Linked DNA regions of Drosophila melanogaster. The protein of the gene in region 1 interacts with the protein of each later gene in a biochemical or structural test. Each region holds a gene or a part of one and is shown on either strand. Other genes may lie near its edges.

Evidence for each region.
Region 2: the proteins of Chc (region 1) and Dap160 interact in far-western blotting, tested with the Drosophila melanogaster proteins (one study listed by BioGRID).

What each region holds. Positions count from the first base shown.
Region 1 is NC_004354.4:15,830,636-15,838,748, forward strand, and holds the start of Chc (clathrin heavy chain), read right to left. Parts: upstream 4,856-8,113; 5' UTR 4,652-4,855; exon of another isoform or gene 4,593-4,651; intron 4,278-4,592; exon of another isoform or gene 4,186-4,277; intron 4,120-4,185; exon of another isoform or gene 3,997-4,119; intron 3,737-3,996; 5' UTR 3,530-3,736; coding exon 3,488-3,529; intron 3,065-3,487; coding exon 2,857-3,064; intron 2,619-2,856; coding exon 1-2,618. Other genes in the region: CG8565 (uncharacterized protein), read left to right, coding at 7,745-8,113. UniProt on the Drosophila melanogaster protein: Clathrin is the major protein of the polyhedral coat of coated pits and vesicles.
Region 2 is NT_033779.5:21,137,417-21,144,811, forward strand, and holds the start of Dap160 (dynamin associated protein 160), read right to left. Parts: upstream 4,932-7,395; 5' UTR 4,823-4,931; intron 4,597-4,822; 5' UTR 4,373-4,596; coding exon 4,209-4,372; intron 4,137-4,208; coding exon 3,762-4,136; intron 3,593-3,761; coding exon 3,153-3,592; intron 3,075-3,152; coding exon of another isoform or gene 3,063-3,074; coding exon 2,801-3,062; intron 2,741-2,800; coding exon 2,593-2,740; intron 2,527-2,592; coding exon 2,260-2,526; intron 2,187-2,259; coding exon 1,296-2,186; intron 946-1,295; coding exon 697-945; intron 615-696; coding exon 341-614; intron 273-340; coding exon 99-272; coding exon of another isoform or gene 61-98; exon of another isoform or gene 1-60. Other genes in the region: pths (porthos), read left to right, coding at 5,890-6,087, 6,148-6,406, 6,596-7,395.

The DNA.
Region 1 (8,113 bases):
GAGTTCGGCGTCGCGGCGACCAACCAAGTAGCGTGCTTCGCTCTTGAACAGAGAATTCTCGTTACAAACGGCGATCAGCTCGCGATCGCACAATCCACGCTCGTAGGCGACACACGCCAAATGGGGATCCCGCTTCTCGCAGTAGCGACCGACCACACGGCTATCGTAGTACTGATTCTCCTTAAGATATCTCTCGGGATTGTTGTTCGAGTCAATGTAGATCTTGGCCAACGCGTTGTGGGTGGCTGGCTCGACGCAGCCCTCGTGAACTCGGGACTCCAGCCAGGGAAGGAGAAGCTTGAGACGGTTGCGCTTCTCGACCTCCTCGACCAGTTCGTCGGTTGAGAATTGTCCCTTGACCACGAGAATTAGATTTTTAATTATATCCTCACTGCAATCAACATCAAGAAGACCACCCACTACCACTGGCAAGCGGGATGGATTCACTTTCTGCACATAGATCTCAATGTACTTCTGCAGATTGTTACGATACAGGTAAAGCACCAAGTCGTGCACGAAATCAAAACGATCACAAACAATAATTAATGGTAGCTGATCCGTCAGCTTGGCCTCCTTCAAGAAGTTCTTCACCCGTTCGGGATTGTAGCAGTTTGATTCACGGCAAATTCGCTCCACCTCCTTAATCTGATTAGTCTTGCATGCCGCCTGAATGTATTTGAAGTGCACTTCGGGATCCTGTGAGAAGTTGACAATGCTGCTCAGGAAGTAGAACAGTCCGTCGTAGCTCTTGAAACCTTCGAACAGATCAATCAGTGCCTTGTTGGTCAGCTGTTCGTGATACTTGGTGGCAATCTGCACACAGATCTGCAAGTTCTGGCGCAAATTCGCCGTAAGCATTGCCTTCAGACATTCCAGCGAGTCCTCCACCGACAGCGTGCCAAAGAAACTGACCAGCCATTCGGCATTCAGCATGTGCGTGTGCACAACGGCCCGCTTAATGTCATACAGATCCGTGTAGTGCTCGAGGGCGCGCTGGAGCAGTCCAGCCTTCTCGCACAGCTGGGCAATGTGGGCCCGATCGTAGTGGGTGAACATAGCATTGCCCAGGATGGCGTCGGCCACCTGCGGAGCAGACATCAGATTCATTTCCAGCAGGCGCGTCTGGAGGGCACCCTCGGCGGGACGGTTATGCTTGAGGGCGTCCAGCAGGAATGCAGTGCACTGCTGCACCATGGAGTGCTCCATGAAGATGTCCACAATCTGATTGATGTCCGCCAGTGGCTCTTCCTCGGCCACCAACATAGAGGCGAAACCAGCTCCTTGCTCCGGGTTGCTTCGCATCACGGAGCGCAGCAGGAACACGTAATCGGGCGTATAGTTGACCTTCTTGGCGTAGAGTACAATCTTCTGGAACTGCCCAGTCTCAGCAAAGCATTGGATAACCTTGTTGGGCACATTTGCGCGCAGATAGATGGACAGGGCAAGTGTAAGATCGGAGGCCTTGACCAGATCACCCAACTCCTCGCTGCATTCCAACTTCTCCTCCTTCAGCCACTTCTCGCACAGCTGCTTCTTGCCCTGCAGCAAGACGGGACGGCACAGCTCGAGAGACTCGAACTTGTTCAGCTTGCCCTGGTCGAGGAGAATGCCAAAGTATTGCAGCAGCGGCGGAGTCGTGGAGCCAGCTGGTGTCTGCACCTGTTGGAAACGCTGGATCGTCTGTGGCGTACGCAGAATGGCCTTGGGTGCCAGGGCAGCAACTTTAGCCGCTTCAGCATACTGGCCGGCTGTAAAGAGCTTGTTGAACTTTCGCACAAAGAGATCTTCGGCACCAGCCAAATTGTTGCGCACGGCCATGCGAAGGGCCAAATCGGGATTCTGCAGAACGGTGTTGATGTAGGGAATGATCTGCTCCTCGTCGACGGTCACGGAGAGGACCTGTCCCTTGCGATTGACGCCAATGATGCCACCACTTGCCTCATGCGGTGCGGTAACAAAGATCGTATCGGCCGATATACGATTCATGTATATGCACGTGGCCGTCTCCATGTCATACAGATGTATGTATCCATACTTGGTTATCAAGTAGATGGTGTCGTACTTGGCAGAGACTTGCATAGCCACAGGGAAATCATTTTGTGCTTCCGGCGGAAAGAAGACATCGACAGCCTTCTTGGCAAACGGCTGATTGCCGTTCGGCGGAGCACCAACTTCGATAATATGAAGCTTGCCCCCAGTGGCCGTACGAACTGCAAAGCAGAACAGCGTGGTCGGCTCCTTGTTGGCATCGATTTTAAACGTGGCAAAACTGGCCGCATGCCCCTCGATCGCCTGGGACACCTTACGCTCCACCGAATACAACTGCATGGCACCGGCAACGCGACTTGGCAGTGCCGAAATGCCGACCAAGAGTAGCCACTGCTGGGAGGCATTGCAGCGGTAGTTGATGATTTGACAACCGTTCAGCGATGAATGCCGGTCAAACATCTTTTGCGGCATCGAATCGCCCTCCATGGACCAATGGAACACACTCGTTTCTGTGACCAGAGCTAGCGTATTGAGGGAGATCCACTTCCAGAACACCACATCCTCGTTCATGGTATGCGCCTTCATCTTCGACTTCATCTCAATGTTGAAGATCTGCAACGTCTTTTGCGCTAAAAGAAATATTCTAAAGTTATACATGTTCAAAAATGCATTATCCCAGTCGACCGGAAAAAAACTTTGATCTCTTTCCTTACTATTTGATATTCAAGTTAAAGTTTAAGTGAGGTTTTAAGTTTTCTAGACACGTTGTAATAACAAGCGGACCTGTTTACTAAGCCTACGTTACTTTAAGCTAAAATCTGATCCTCTTCGGACATTCTGATCGACTGGACCATCGGTTTCAGTTACCTTTGAGCGCAATGACCTTGCTAGCTGGATTCATGATAGCCGAATCCGCTGAGATGGGACGCCGCGTGGGATTGGTGGCATCGTTCATGTCAATGATGACCACTTGGGCGGTATCATTCACCTTCTCCCGCACGCAAATAAACTTATCCGATTCCATCGTGAGCGTGCTGAATGAAAATGAATTGGCGTTGATCCCGACATTTGTGAGCTGTCCGTAGTGGAGATTGAAAATGTGTGTTAATTGATAAATCGAAAATCATAGCATACGCACTCATTACACAATATAATCATTCATTATTAATTATTGAACTGGCCTGGATTGACCCACATTTACTATTAAATATTCGCAATACTTTGCTTAAGTTTAGATGTAAATTTGTATTATAACTAGTTCTATAGAAAATACACTGTATACAGACTTGAATAGAAGGTATAGCAAAGTAGAAACTCGACCTAAGCCCCCATATTTTCTGTTTACACGTTGAATTAGAGCTGGAAACCGTGAAATTTTCATAAGAAAAGTGGGGAGCTTATGAATCGGATATAATCGTAGGTAATCGTGGCATATTGGTGGGTTGTACGTATGTGGATATGTAATGATGGTAGATCCAAAATATTTAATATTACTCACCTGTAAATGCTCCTGAAAGCGGATGGGCAGTGGTTGCGTCATCTTTACTACTACAGTGAGGTCTAGTTATTGACAGACCTTTACAACGTAAATGTATCTTTGCGAAAACAATGCCAATACGATGTTTTCTTGAATTGCACACTTGGTAACAGTTTGTATTTGATTTGTTTCGAGGATTTATTGTTGTTTAATTGCGTTCGAGTTTAGTCGGTTTCTGGTTTAAGATTCGGTTTCCATTGGAACGTTTAGCTGCACGAAAGACAAAAGATTTTGGAAAAACATGTAGTTATGGACAGCACTGATGCGGCAAGAATGAGGAAAAATCAAATTGTGGGCGTTATTTTATTGTTGATAGAAAGTGACAGCGTCACCGGATGAAAAAATGAAAGATAAAGGCCTATATGTATGTACATATGGATGTAAACGCCCTTAAAATAAAACACCGAGTCTCTTATTGTATCCCCAATCGCTTTTGTGCAAGAAAATATATAGACGAAATTATTTCCTACGATTAATCCTTTGTATCGGTATTTTTATTCGTTTTCTTGCGTTTTTGCACTTGCCGTTACGACGGGAAAATTACCAGCACTTTATTTTATTTGAGGTGAGCGAGGGAGAGAGAGAGAGAGTGAGAGCGAATCAAGAGAGAGAATTTGAAAAGAAAAGAGGCAGCATTATCATCAAAAATCGCTGCTCACCACAGAAAAAGTCAGCCATGTTGAGTTGCGCTTTGAACAATTAGTCACTGACTAATACATGTACAGCAATTTTGCTCTTGTTTTCCCTCCCCCTGTGTGTGCATGAAAATCGAAAATCGCATTTAAATATCACTGTTTTGCGCCTGATAACAATGGGACAATGCCATGAAATTGACGAAATTCGGTGTATATACATCAAATTGAGTAGCGGTAATTCCCAATTCACACGCACACAGCAGCACTCGCGCACACACACTCACAGATGAGCGCGCACACTTGCAGTGCCGCAATATGCCACATAAACAAGAACATAATTAGATAAACGGTAAATTAATCGGATGCTTTTACATCAAATAAACAAAATTTGTATGTATATATTGCATTTGCAAGCGAACACACACACGCACTTTAGCACTTTACATTTTTTCCCAATGAATCGAAAGATATTTGGAGCCCGTATGCTTACTGCAATTTAACAAAAATGTACGCTAAGTACTATCATACTCGAAATAATCACGTCGGTTTGTTGCTAGATGACGGGCACACACACTGAAGACAAACTGAGCTCTTATCAAGCTCTAACAAATGTAGTTTATTTTTCTTTTGTTTGACTAAATACTGACTGCAAGACAAGGTAGAGGTGTGAAAGTTATACAATTAATGCCGATATATACGGCAAATATGCAATTGCGTGGAGTGAAAAAACATCGATACCACATTCAACATTCGAATCGATATTTGTATCGCACGATCCTACTGTTACACGTATTTATTCATAATATTCGAATGTAATTATTATTTAGGTAAATGTAGTATAACTTTGTAAGGAACAACAAATTTATTTTATTTTATCAGCTTCATTTATATTTTGCCGATAACAAGTTTTTAGATCATAATACATACGTAAGGTTAACAGGTGTTATCGAGTGATCCAATTGGATATATTCTCTAATTGGAAATCTATTTTTTATAGCAATTTAATTTGGAATGTGAAGTTATTATACCCGTTACTCGTAGAGTAACAGAACACACCCCAGAAAAAATTATTAAATTTCACGTTTGCACTCACACTATCTGCGTAACGGGTATCTGATAGTCGGAGAACGGGACTAAAGCATTCTCTTTCGTTAATTTTTAAAAATATATATACATTAATTATCTTGCTTAAGTGCTGGATAATAAGTAGGCGATAATTTTAACATTGTTCCTATGCAATACTATTTTTAAGTAGGCGATGATTTTAACTTTGTTCTTTTTCAATACTATTTTTGACATTTACACTCAATGTGCTACAGAAACAACAACTTTAGGATTTGCTCCAAACATTTTTTTTATTGTTTTTATCATTTGGAAAACCGAGTCCCAACAATAAAATCTTAATCTATGAGGTAAGCAGCAGTATCCGATTTTGAAGCACCTTTTGGCGATAGAATCTATACCGTCTTGACTTGACTGATCAAGGGCATGACAAAGGATGGGGCAAGGAGCTAGACGAATATTGCGGGCGTCCCGCTCGCAGATTTGCGGTAGTCTTCGAACGGGCGAAGGGTCCAGCACCTCAGCAAGTTGTCGAAAAGGTACACATAATCATTTTTGTCCTGCAGGCACAAAAATTTGGAAATTCTTTTATTAAAAGCAAAAGCGATGTCACTCTCTACCATGAGCAATCCCTTGAGGACTTCTGAAAGTTTTTCATTATTGCAGTGGTAAAAAACCCAGCTGGATTGTCCGAATTTGACCAGTGCTCGATGCTTTGGCCGTTCGCAGTCTGCCGCATTCCTGCTAGGCGTCCCACCCGCCCAGGATTCCTCAACCCAGGGCCATTGGGAGAGGATCCGTCGCTAACAGAATAAGGTAAACTGATAAACTCCTCGTTTCCCAGGGAAATTCTTTTATTAATATAAGTTTCTTCTACAGTATATACAGACGTTCTTACGACTCGGTTTTGGGATCTAGGAAGCCCAGGATAAATGGCAGAATGCTGCGGACTCTGAGCTTTGTCAATCATATTCATTTTGATAACATAAAGATACCACTAAATTCTGTTTTTATTTTTCTTCGTTTTCATGTTTACCTAGATTATTTTAATATATATTTACATTGAAACGTTGTTGTCATTCAAATAATATACCCTTCTCTGTGGGAGCCAATAATAATGCAAGTTCCAATTTTTTATACCCGTTACTCGTAAGGGTAAGATTCGTTGAAACTGGCAGAAGGAAGCGTTTCCGACCATATAATCTATATATATATATATATTCTTGATCAGGAGAAATAGCCGAGTCGATCTGGTCATGTCCGTCTGTCCGTATGAACGTCGAGAACTATAAAAGCTAGAAGGTTGAGAGTCCCAAGTTGAGATCCATGTTGCCACGCCCACTCTAACGCCATAATACAGCCCCGCCAAGATTATCGCCGTGAGGTAACGATGTAATCGAAGGATTACAGCGGCCGCGACATGGGCGCGAACTTTGTGGTGCCGGCGATGGCAGGGCGACAGGATCACACGATTCCGCCGGACAGCTGCGGGGATACCTTGGTCGGAATGCGTGGATTCGTTACGATTTCCAGGACATTTGGTAGCATCCACACAATGGGGTTTTGTCCCATAAAAAGTAACTGCGCAGGATGCGGTTTGTGTAACGATCACCGATCAGAGGACACTTTATGCAGCATCATATCGTGCGGCATATCCTGCTACATCCGCTGCATGGCGTGATAAATGATCCCAGCCGATCAGATTCCCACAACGATTCAATGCGCATAAATGAAAATCATCACAAAGTATTATAAAGTATTTAAGAAAGAAATTCTTTAGAAATGTCAATCTGATTGAACATCTGGTGTGTATGTAGAGCTATAATATAAATTTAAATTATATTTATTAAAATGCTAAGAAACTTTGCTATCTGTGAGTTTCTAAATTTTCTGATCAAGTGGGCATTGAAAATAACATTTTGTGTTTTGTGACTTTCGTATCAGTAAAACGACCAGTTAACATTTGGCCAGCACCATGAAAACAGCTCCGAAAAACTTACCAAAATAAGACCGTTGAAAATATTTTACAAAAGTAAAAGGGCAGGAAAATTAGCCTTTTTCTACGTTTATACATATTTGGTAAAATTTCCAAACCCAAGTATTTGTATCCAGGAACAGAAGGTAAGTTTCAAATTTAAACCATTTTGTAGACACCAATCGCGTGCTCACACAACCTCAATCACAATCAAAATTTTCGGTTCCAAATAAAAAAAAAAAAAAAAAAAAAAAAAAAAATTTCCAACTTCCTTGGGGAAAAGTAAGCTTTGCGTAGATTATCGGACAACATTTTTTTTCGTTTAGCCCCATCCATTCATTTTAGTTCATCGAAGGCAGTTGTATTTTCCAATTCGTTGTTTAGTTTCGACATTTCATACATTTGGTTGATAAAAAATAAATAATACTACACACACGTACACGTACTCGTACTCGTATTTCGAATTGAAAATTTCGCCAAAACAAGAAAAACTAATAAGAACATCTAAACCATTCGTCGGCAGCTAGCAATCCAAGTGAAGTAATCATGTTTAAAATGAAACGAACGAGAGTAATCAGACGCAAGGCAGCCATTATCAGGGCTTCAAAGAGGGCCTTCCAGGAAAAGATTCGCAAACAGATGGAATCGTGTGGCGTGACTCAAATGGGAAACGCATCAACGCAACAGTCGAATGTGCCGATGGATGTGGATGCGGATATGGGACGCAAAATGTCGGAAGATGGAATGACTGATACATCGAATACGGTCAAACAGCCATCCTGTTCCAAGGATCAAAAGCAATTGTCGCGAAAACAAAAGCCATCCCCATCCTACAACCACCAGGAGCAGATCGAACAAAGAGCAAAGCGACCAAAGATATGTAAAAAAAGGTGCAAACAGAAAAGACGAATGCCA
Region 2 (7,395 bases), on another chromosome or scaffold:
ATAACAATATGTGTACGGAATGTGGTAACTAGAGAGCTAAGCTGGATCGGTATGTGAGATTCACTTCTTGGTGGTGCCATTTGCTTTTGCTGGCTTACCGGACGTCACGAAGGGCCCCACATAGTTGCTAGGGAAGAGACCGGAAAGGCCATTCAGCTCGCCACGCCACCACTCCGGCTCATCCCGACCCAGAACGCTAATGATATCGTCCTTATCAAACGACAGCTCGTCGTCATTTTGTGCTTTGTACGGATAGAGAGCAATGACCTTGTCTGCATGGGAAAAACGATATAGATAAAATAATTTATTTAAATCATACTACGAATATTCAAAAACCAACCCAAGATCTGTTCAGTCATCTCGATTCGACTACCGGAAACCGGAGTATTCCGTCCGCTGTTGCGCCCGCCTTGGAGAACCTTCACGTAAGTGGCCGGGAACCATCCGATCTGCCGCCGTCGACCCTTTGCCTGCAGCTCACCCTCCCACCAGCCGGAGTCCGTCTTTTTACGGATCATTATTAATTGGCCTCTCGTCAGCGAAAGCTGTTCCGTGCTGGTTGCCTCATAGGGCGCGATTACTTGAGCAATCTCAGACCGCTTGGCACGCATTCCCTGCAAAATGATGACGAAAAAGATGTTGGTTCATTAAATGAAACAATAAATGAAGTGGTAACGGGCTGTGTCAACTATTTACGGGTGTCATGGAAGAGGTGCGTGACATGGGTCGGCTGTAGCTCTCGGCAGGCTCGCTGCTCTGTGTTTTGGACTGTGTATTTATCTGGGAAACTTCAGTGTCGAGGTCTTCGTGCGCCTCCTCGGCGCCAACGCCTGGGCTAGATATCGGCTGCTCGCTGGGCTCCTGAACAGGCAGCGGCTGGTAAACCTGCTCCTGTGCCTCCACGGGAGCAGCGGTGTAGGCAGCGTTGCCGTTTAGCGTCGTCTCCTGGGTCAGTGCAAGTGTAACACGGTAGCAAAAAGCACAGCACATGAAAAGCATTGGATTAGTAGATGGACGTGAGGGCAACGGTTAGACACGACTCTAGACTTCGGGATTGTAAACTCTTTACAAGTAAGATAAAGTGTTGGCCTGTATATTTAGCGTTTATATTCTCTTATATGGGAACTAAATTCACTTCTCTCTTATATAAATAATGTCGCTTACTTTTTTTTAATATGAAATTGTACACGATTTTGTATACATAATAATATTATAATTCTTGATTCTAGTTCCAATCAATTTAAAACGCAAATGGCCCCACACATTACTTAATTATGTACTATCTATCCACTTACCTGATCAAGAGATTCTACCGGTTCGGCAGCGGCTGTGCTCGCTGTGCCCACATCAGCCTTTTGGACATAGTTCGAAGGAAACATGCCCGTGCGGCTACCAATGGTACCTGTCCACCACTCACCCTCCTTCTTGATGACCATGACCATCTCACCGGCACTGAAGCTCAAATCGCCTTCCTCGGCGGACTCATAAGGATATGCGGCTATATAATACTCGACATCGCCGGCGGCAGTCAGATCTGCGGAAGCTGCCGGAATCGAGCTGGTATTGATATTGTCATTGTAGGTGTCAGCCACGGTGGCCACTTGAGCATCAACCGGGGCTTCGACAGCGGCGACAGGAGCAACTTCACCGACTTCTAGTTTCTCCACATAGGATTCAGGGAACCAGCCGGTGTGGCCATTTATTTCGCCAGCCAACCATCCCGGCTCGGCGTTCTGCTCCAATGGCACCAGGATAATGTCACCAGGCACAAAGGTAATCTCCTCCGCGTTGCGTGCGTTGAACTCGTATACTGCTTGATATTTCACGAATCCTTCTGGGGCCGGTCCCCCTAAGTCCACAGCTGGAGCGGCCAGTGCGGAGATATCATTGCTCGCAACTGCGTAGGGATCGGTGACAGTCGTACCCGTCTCCTCCCAAGCACTGGAAGAGCCTGTGTCCCAGGCCGACGATACACTAGTTTCGTTCTTTCGATTGTACTTCAATTCCAGCACCGAGGTGCGCTGCACATCGTATTCCTTGTACAGATCCTCGCACTTTGTGATTAGAGCGGAGAGCTCGGCCTTGAGCTCAGACATCTGTACATCATTAGTGTTGATGTCCTCCTTCTTTGACTCAATCTCTTTACTGATATTCTCGACTTTATCCTTTATTTGGTTAATAATTAACTGTTGAAAAAGGTAAATAGTATTTTAGAGAATCCGTTGAATACTAAAACTTTACGTATATGCCAAAGCTCACCTGCTTGTGGGCGAATGCGGCATTCAGTTGCTCCTGCTGCGCATTCTCCCCTCCCAAGGCAGCCCCGCTGGCCTTGCTCTTGGCCTCCCACTTGGCCCTCTCTTGGGTGAGCTGAAGCAGTTTAGCGTTCTGTTCCTTAATCCGCGCTTTCAGCTGCGACATTTCGGACATGGAAGTGTCGCGCTGGGTGCGCATTCCGTCGATAACGGTCTTTACGTTTGTCACGCCGGCACGAGTGTCGCAAATCCTCTGCGAAAGCTCCTTGATCTGTAATTAAGCCGAGTTAGTTAGATAGGCCAGCCATATAGATTAGTTGTACTTTAAGAACATTACTTTTTCATTCAGTGTGCTGAGCTCCACATTAAGCTGGGTGTTGTGTGCCTTCTGCTTTAGAACACGTTCTTGTTCCCTCTCCTTCTGTGCGTTCATTTCGGCAATTCTAGCCTGCTCCCATTCCTGCTGGCGCTGCTTCTCAAGCTCCCTGATACAATAGAAATTGTATACATTGTTTTGTCGCTCAAAGCAAGATAAAAGTCCTTACTTTCTGGCCGCCTCCTTAGCCTCCAGTTCCCTCTTGCGCTGCTCCTCCTTCTCCATCTCAATCTCTCGCTGGCGTTGGAGCTGTCGCTCTAGTTCCTCCTGCTGCTTACGCTCGGCCTCCAAACGAGCCTTTTCACGCTTATCAGCCTCTTCACGCTCCTTTCGCTCTCTCTCTTCCCGCTCCTTGCGCTGCTGGTCCTCCATAATTTTGCGCCTACGATCCAGCTCTGCTTGACCCTTAACATAATTCTCCTTTCGCTTGTCTTCGAAGGAAGCTGGTGAACGCGAAATCACAAGTGTTAATATATGGAATATATTCACATGTTTGGCAACGGAGTTAATTAAGCACTTACTTTGTCCAGGTAGTCCGGCTGTTGGGTCAGCATCCACGACTCCCACTCCGCTTTGGGATGAAACAGATGCGTGTCGGGAGGCCGGCTGTGAGCCAGGACGGGATACCACCCCTGAGACCGATCCCGGTCGCGATTTTATTTTGCGCAAGTTGGGCGGTACCCATTCCTGGGGCAAGGTAACCGGAATTTTCTCACCAGCCATGGCCTTCTCGCATAGGAACATGGCAAGAATAAACTCGTCGCAGTTCAGCCGTCCATCGCCGTCGATGTCGGACAGCGTCCAGATTTGGGCCAGCGTGACCTGGGGTAACTTGCTCTGTACGAGAACGCCGCGTGCCTGGGATCCAGTTAAGTAACCAGATCGGGTGCGATCATTAGCATTGAACACCTGCGTGTATTTACGCTTTTGGGCAGCTTGAACGGCCCATTCTCCTTGGTTGCTAAAAGGATAGAAGTTGATTGAGGAGTTAAGAACAGATACGATATTATATATATGTTTTTGCTAATATTTCAATAACTAAGAATATTTGAAATTTAATTAATTAAATTATCTCTTCTTTGCTACATTAATAATATTAAATCATTAATTCGATTCTAAGTGATGCTTACACAGACTCGATCGATGGCGCTCGCTCTGAGATAGACGTGTGGCGACTAGGTGGATTGCTGGTGGGGGGTGTGGGGCCAGACGGCACTGAGACTCCAGGCGGTGAAATGACAGTAGCCACAGCCACCGGTGGAGCCACAACGGGAACAACTGGAGCTACTGCCGGAACTATTCCCTTGAGTGGATCCAAAGGGCTCAAGGAGCTTGTGGAGCCACGTGGCGTCATCGAGGGGACATCGCCGGTAAGAGACGACAGCAGGCTGGGAGGAAGAACCTTGGGAACGTCCATGCCGCGCAACTTGAGGTTGATAAGCTTGCAGGCTATGCTGAACTCATTGATGTTCATCTTGCCGTCGGAATCAGTGTCCGCCAGAGCCCTGGAGATAAGAAAATGAGTAAGAATTAACACTCTTATCGGTGGATGATTCATGGGGGCGTAATATACATACCATATTTGGCCCAGGATCAGGGGCGGCAGCTGGGACTGCAGGAAGAACCCTTTGGCCTGGGCGCCGGTAACGAATCCTGCCTGCGGCTGGAGTGCCCTAAACTGTTCCTGGTACTTCAAACGCTCCCTCGGGGTCACAGCCCACGCATCCACCGCCGAGTTCATTTTGGGCAAACACTTTATCCTAGTTTCCACGGAAAGCTCTTCCTCTTTATCGTCCTTTTTCCGTATGCGTGTGTATTAGTGCGCTCTCTTCGGCTACTTTTGAGTACACATCAAATACAAACTCTTTCGCTCCGCACTCTTTTCGCCGCTCTCTTTACTACGTCTATCGCCTATTCAGTATCCACCACCCCCACAAATTTTCACAATGGATTTTTATGGTTTACCTATAAAGCATTTCCAAAAATATTAAGCGATCTCAATGGACAGGTTGTAAAGATAGATTGCCCCCTTTACTCGCTTTCTGAAGGTTTTAGTTTCTCTTTAGTAGGCGTTTTCACTTGTCAACCGCATAGCCACGAATTAACTGATAAGTAATGATGTGGTATGGTCCCCGCCAACGCACACGTTATTCTCTTATATATCCCTCTTAACTGTAATTTTGTTGCTTACTTTTCATCGGAACAAGAAAATTTTGTATTTGCGTAAATTTTAATCAATATTTTATATGATAGGATCCTATATCGACGAACGATAGGCTCCGATAGGTACGGACTAATAATCGAAGGAGGGTGACCGTCGCTTGTTTCTGTGATTATAGCAAGCAAGTGTTGAAAAGTACGGTGACCTTAAGTTGGATGTGACTATTCTGCAACGTTTTTGTTTTTAGCCGCTAACGGATTTTTAAATAAATGAAACAACTACTGACTATGAGTAATATATTAATTATATTACTTCTACAGTGAACCTCATAAAAATTATGTCGGCAGTATGATGCATTTAACACAATACGAAAATGTATACCTAACCAAAACATCAACAGATCGCAATAAACAAAATCGAAGATTAAAATTCGAATATCCAAAATTATAAGAAAATGTTAAGTACAAGTCAGTTAAATTATTTCAACTATTTTTTTCTTTTATTGTCTTTAATATTTCTATACAATTAAAAATGACAATTATTCAGAAATCTTTTGTTCCGGATTTAACGGAATTGTTAATAATAGCATCAATAACATTTGTGTATGAAAATGTCAAACAGTTTTTATTCGTTGACAGTTCATGACAGACAACCCTCTAATTGGCGTTTCATTAATTTAAAATTGCGCGATGGAAAAAGATGTATACCAAATTTGTATTCACCATCTATTTTCAAACATTGTTATATTAACTGAAATGACAAAATCACAATATTAAACAATTTTCTAACAAATTACGATTTTATACAAATGTGAATATATTTCCGAAACAAACTATTTGCACTATAACTAAGTCCTGTAATTAAGATCATGGTTCAGTATGAATGAGTTACAAATTTTATTAAGTGTGCATGTGATATATCGCACATTAGCTATCGAAAGTTATCATGAATCTGCACTGTTTTAAAGACGCAACTATATCGATAATATCGCAAATAGTTCTATTTCTATTTTACCGCCTCTAATTCTTTTATTTCGACCACGTGCTGCTATTGGTAATGTCCGTACCGTGAAATTTTTCTGAAACTCATGTAACAAAATGTCGGAAACTTCAGAGGACGAACAGACGCAGCTACAAACGAGTGACGAAGAGGAGGATCTAGGTAGCGAGGAGGAGCAGGAAGATGAAGATAACAATCATAAGGAAGGGGACAGCGAGGCGGCACTAAGTGGTGAAGATGATAAAGGCTCCGAGGACGACGCAGCCGAGGAACAGAAGCTAACCTGGAAAGATCTCGTATGAGCCCCACTATTAATTTAAATTAAAATTTAATCGAATGGCCATATTTCTTCAAAGGGTCTCAATGAGGCTTTGTGTCAAGCATGTGACGAATTGAAGTGGAAGGCGCCTTCGAAGATCCAACGTGAGGCCATTCCGGTCGCCTTACAGGGCAAGGATGTAATTGGCCTAGCGGAGACCGGTTCCGGCAAGACGGGCGCCTTCGCTCTGCCAATTTTACACGCCCTTCTCGAGAATCCGCAGCGGTATTTTGCCCTCGTGCTAACCCCCACGAGGGAACTGGCATTTCAAATTGGCGAGCAGTTTGAAGCCCTTGGTGAGTTTTCGCATAGTTTATGTGCTTTTAATTCGCAGTGATGTTAAACCTGTTTTGATTTTGTGTATCAACGAAAATATGAAATTATAATTTTCTTATTCGTCACTACCTCTGAGTAAAAAAACCTTCCCATTTATCGTATTCTTGAATTTCCTTCTGCCAAACTTATGCTAGCTCTGTTTTTTTCAGGTAGCGGGATTGGCATAAAGTGTTGCGTGGTAGTCGGCGGCATGGACATGGTAGCCCAGGGTCTTCAACTGGCCAAGAAGCCGCATATTATAATTGCCACACCGGGTCGCTTGGTTGATCATCTAGAAAACATGAAAGGTTTTAACCTTAAGGCTATTAAATACTTGGTCATGGACGAGGCGGATCGCATTCTTAACATGGATTTTGAGGTGGAGCTGGACAAGATTCTGAAGGTATTGCCGCGTGAACGACGAACCTTTCTGTTCAGTGCGACCATGACCAAGAAAGTAAAGAAACTGCAGCGTGCCTCCCTTAAGGATCCCGTAAAGGTAGAGGTGTCTAACAAGTATCAGACGGTTGAGCAGCTGCAGCAATCATATTTGTTTATCCCTGTCAAATACAAGGATGTGTATTTGGTTCATATCCTTAATGAGCTGGCAGGCAACAGTTTCATGATATTTTGCAGCACCTGCAACAACACGGTTAAGACAGCGTTAATGCTTCGTGCGTTGGGATTGGCTGCTATTCCGCTGCACGGTCAAATGTCGCAAAACAAGCGACTAGCTGCTTTAAACAAATTCAAGGCCAAAAACCGGTCAATACTCATTTCGACGGACGTGGCGTCCCGCGGCTTGGACATTCCTCATGTGGATGTCGTCGTTAATTTCGACATACCAACGCACAGCAAAGACTACATTCACCGCGTGGGAAGAACAGCAAGAGCAGGTCGCTCCGGCAAAGCCATAACCCTCGTGAGCCAGTACGACATTGAGTTGTATCAGCGCATCGAACATCTACTG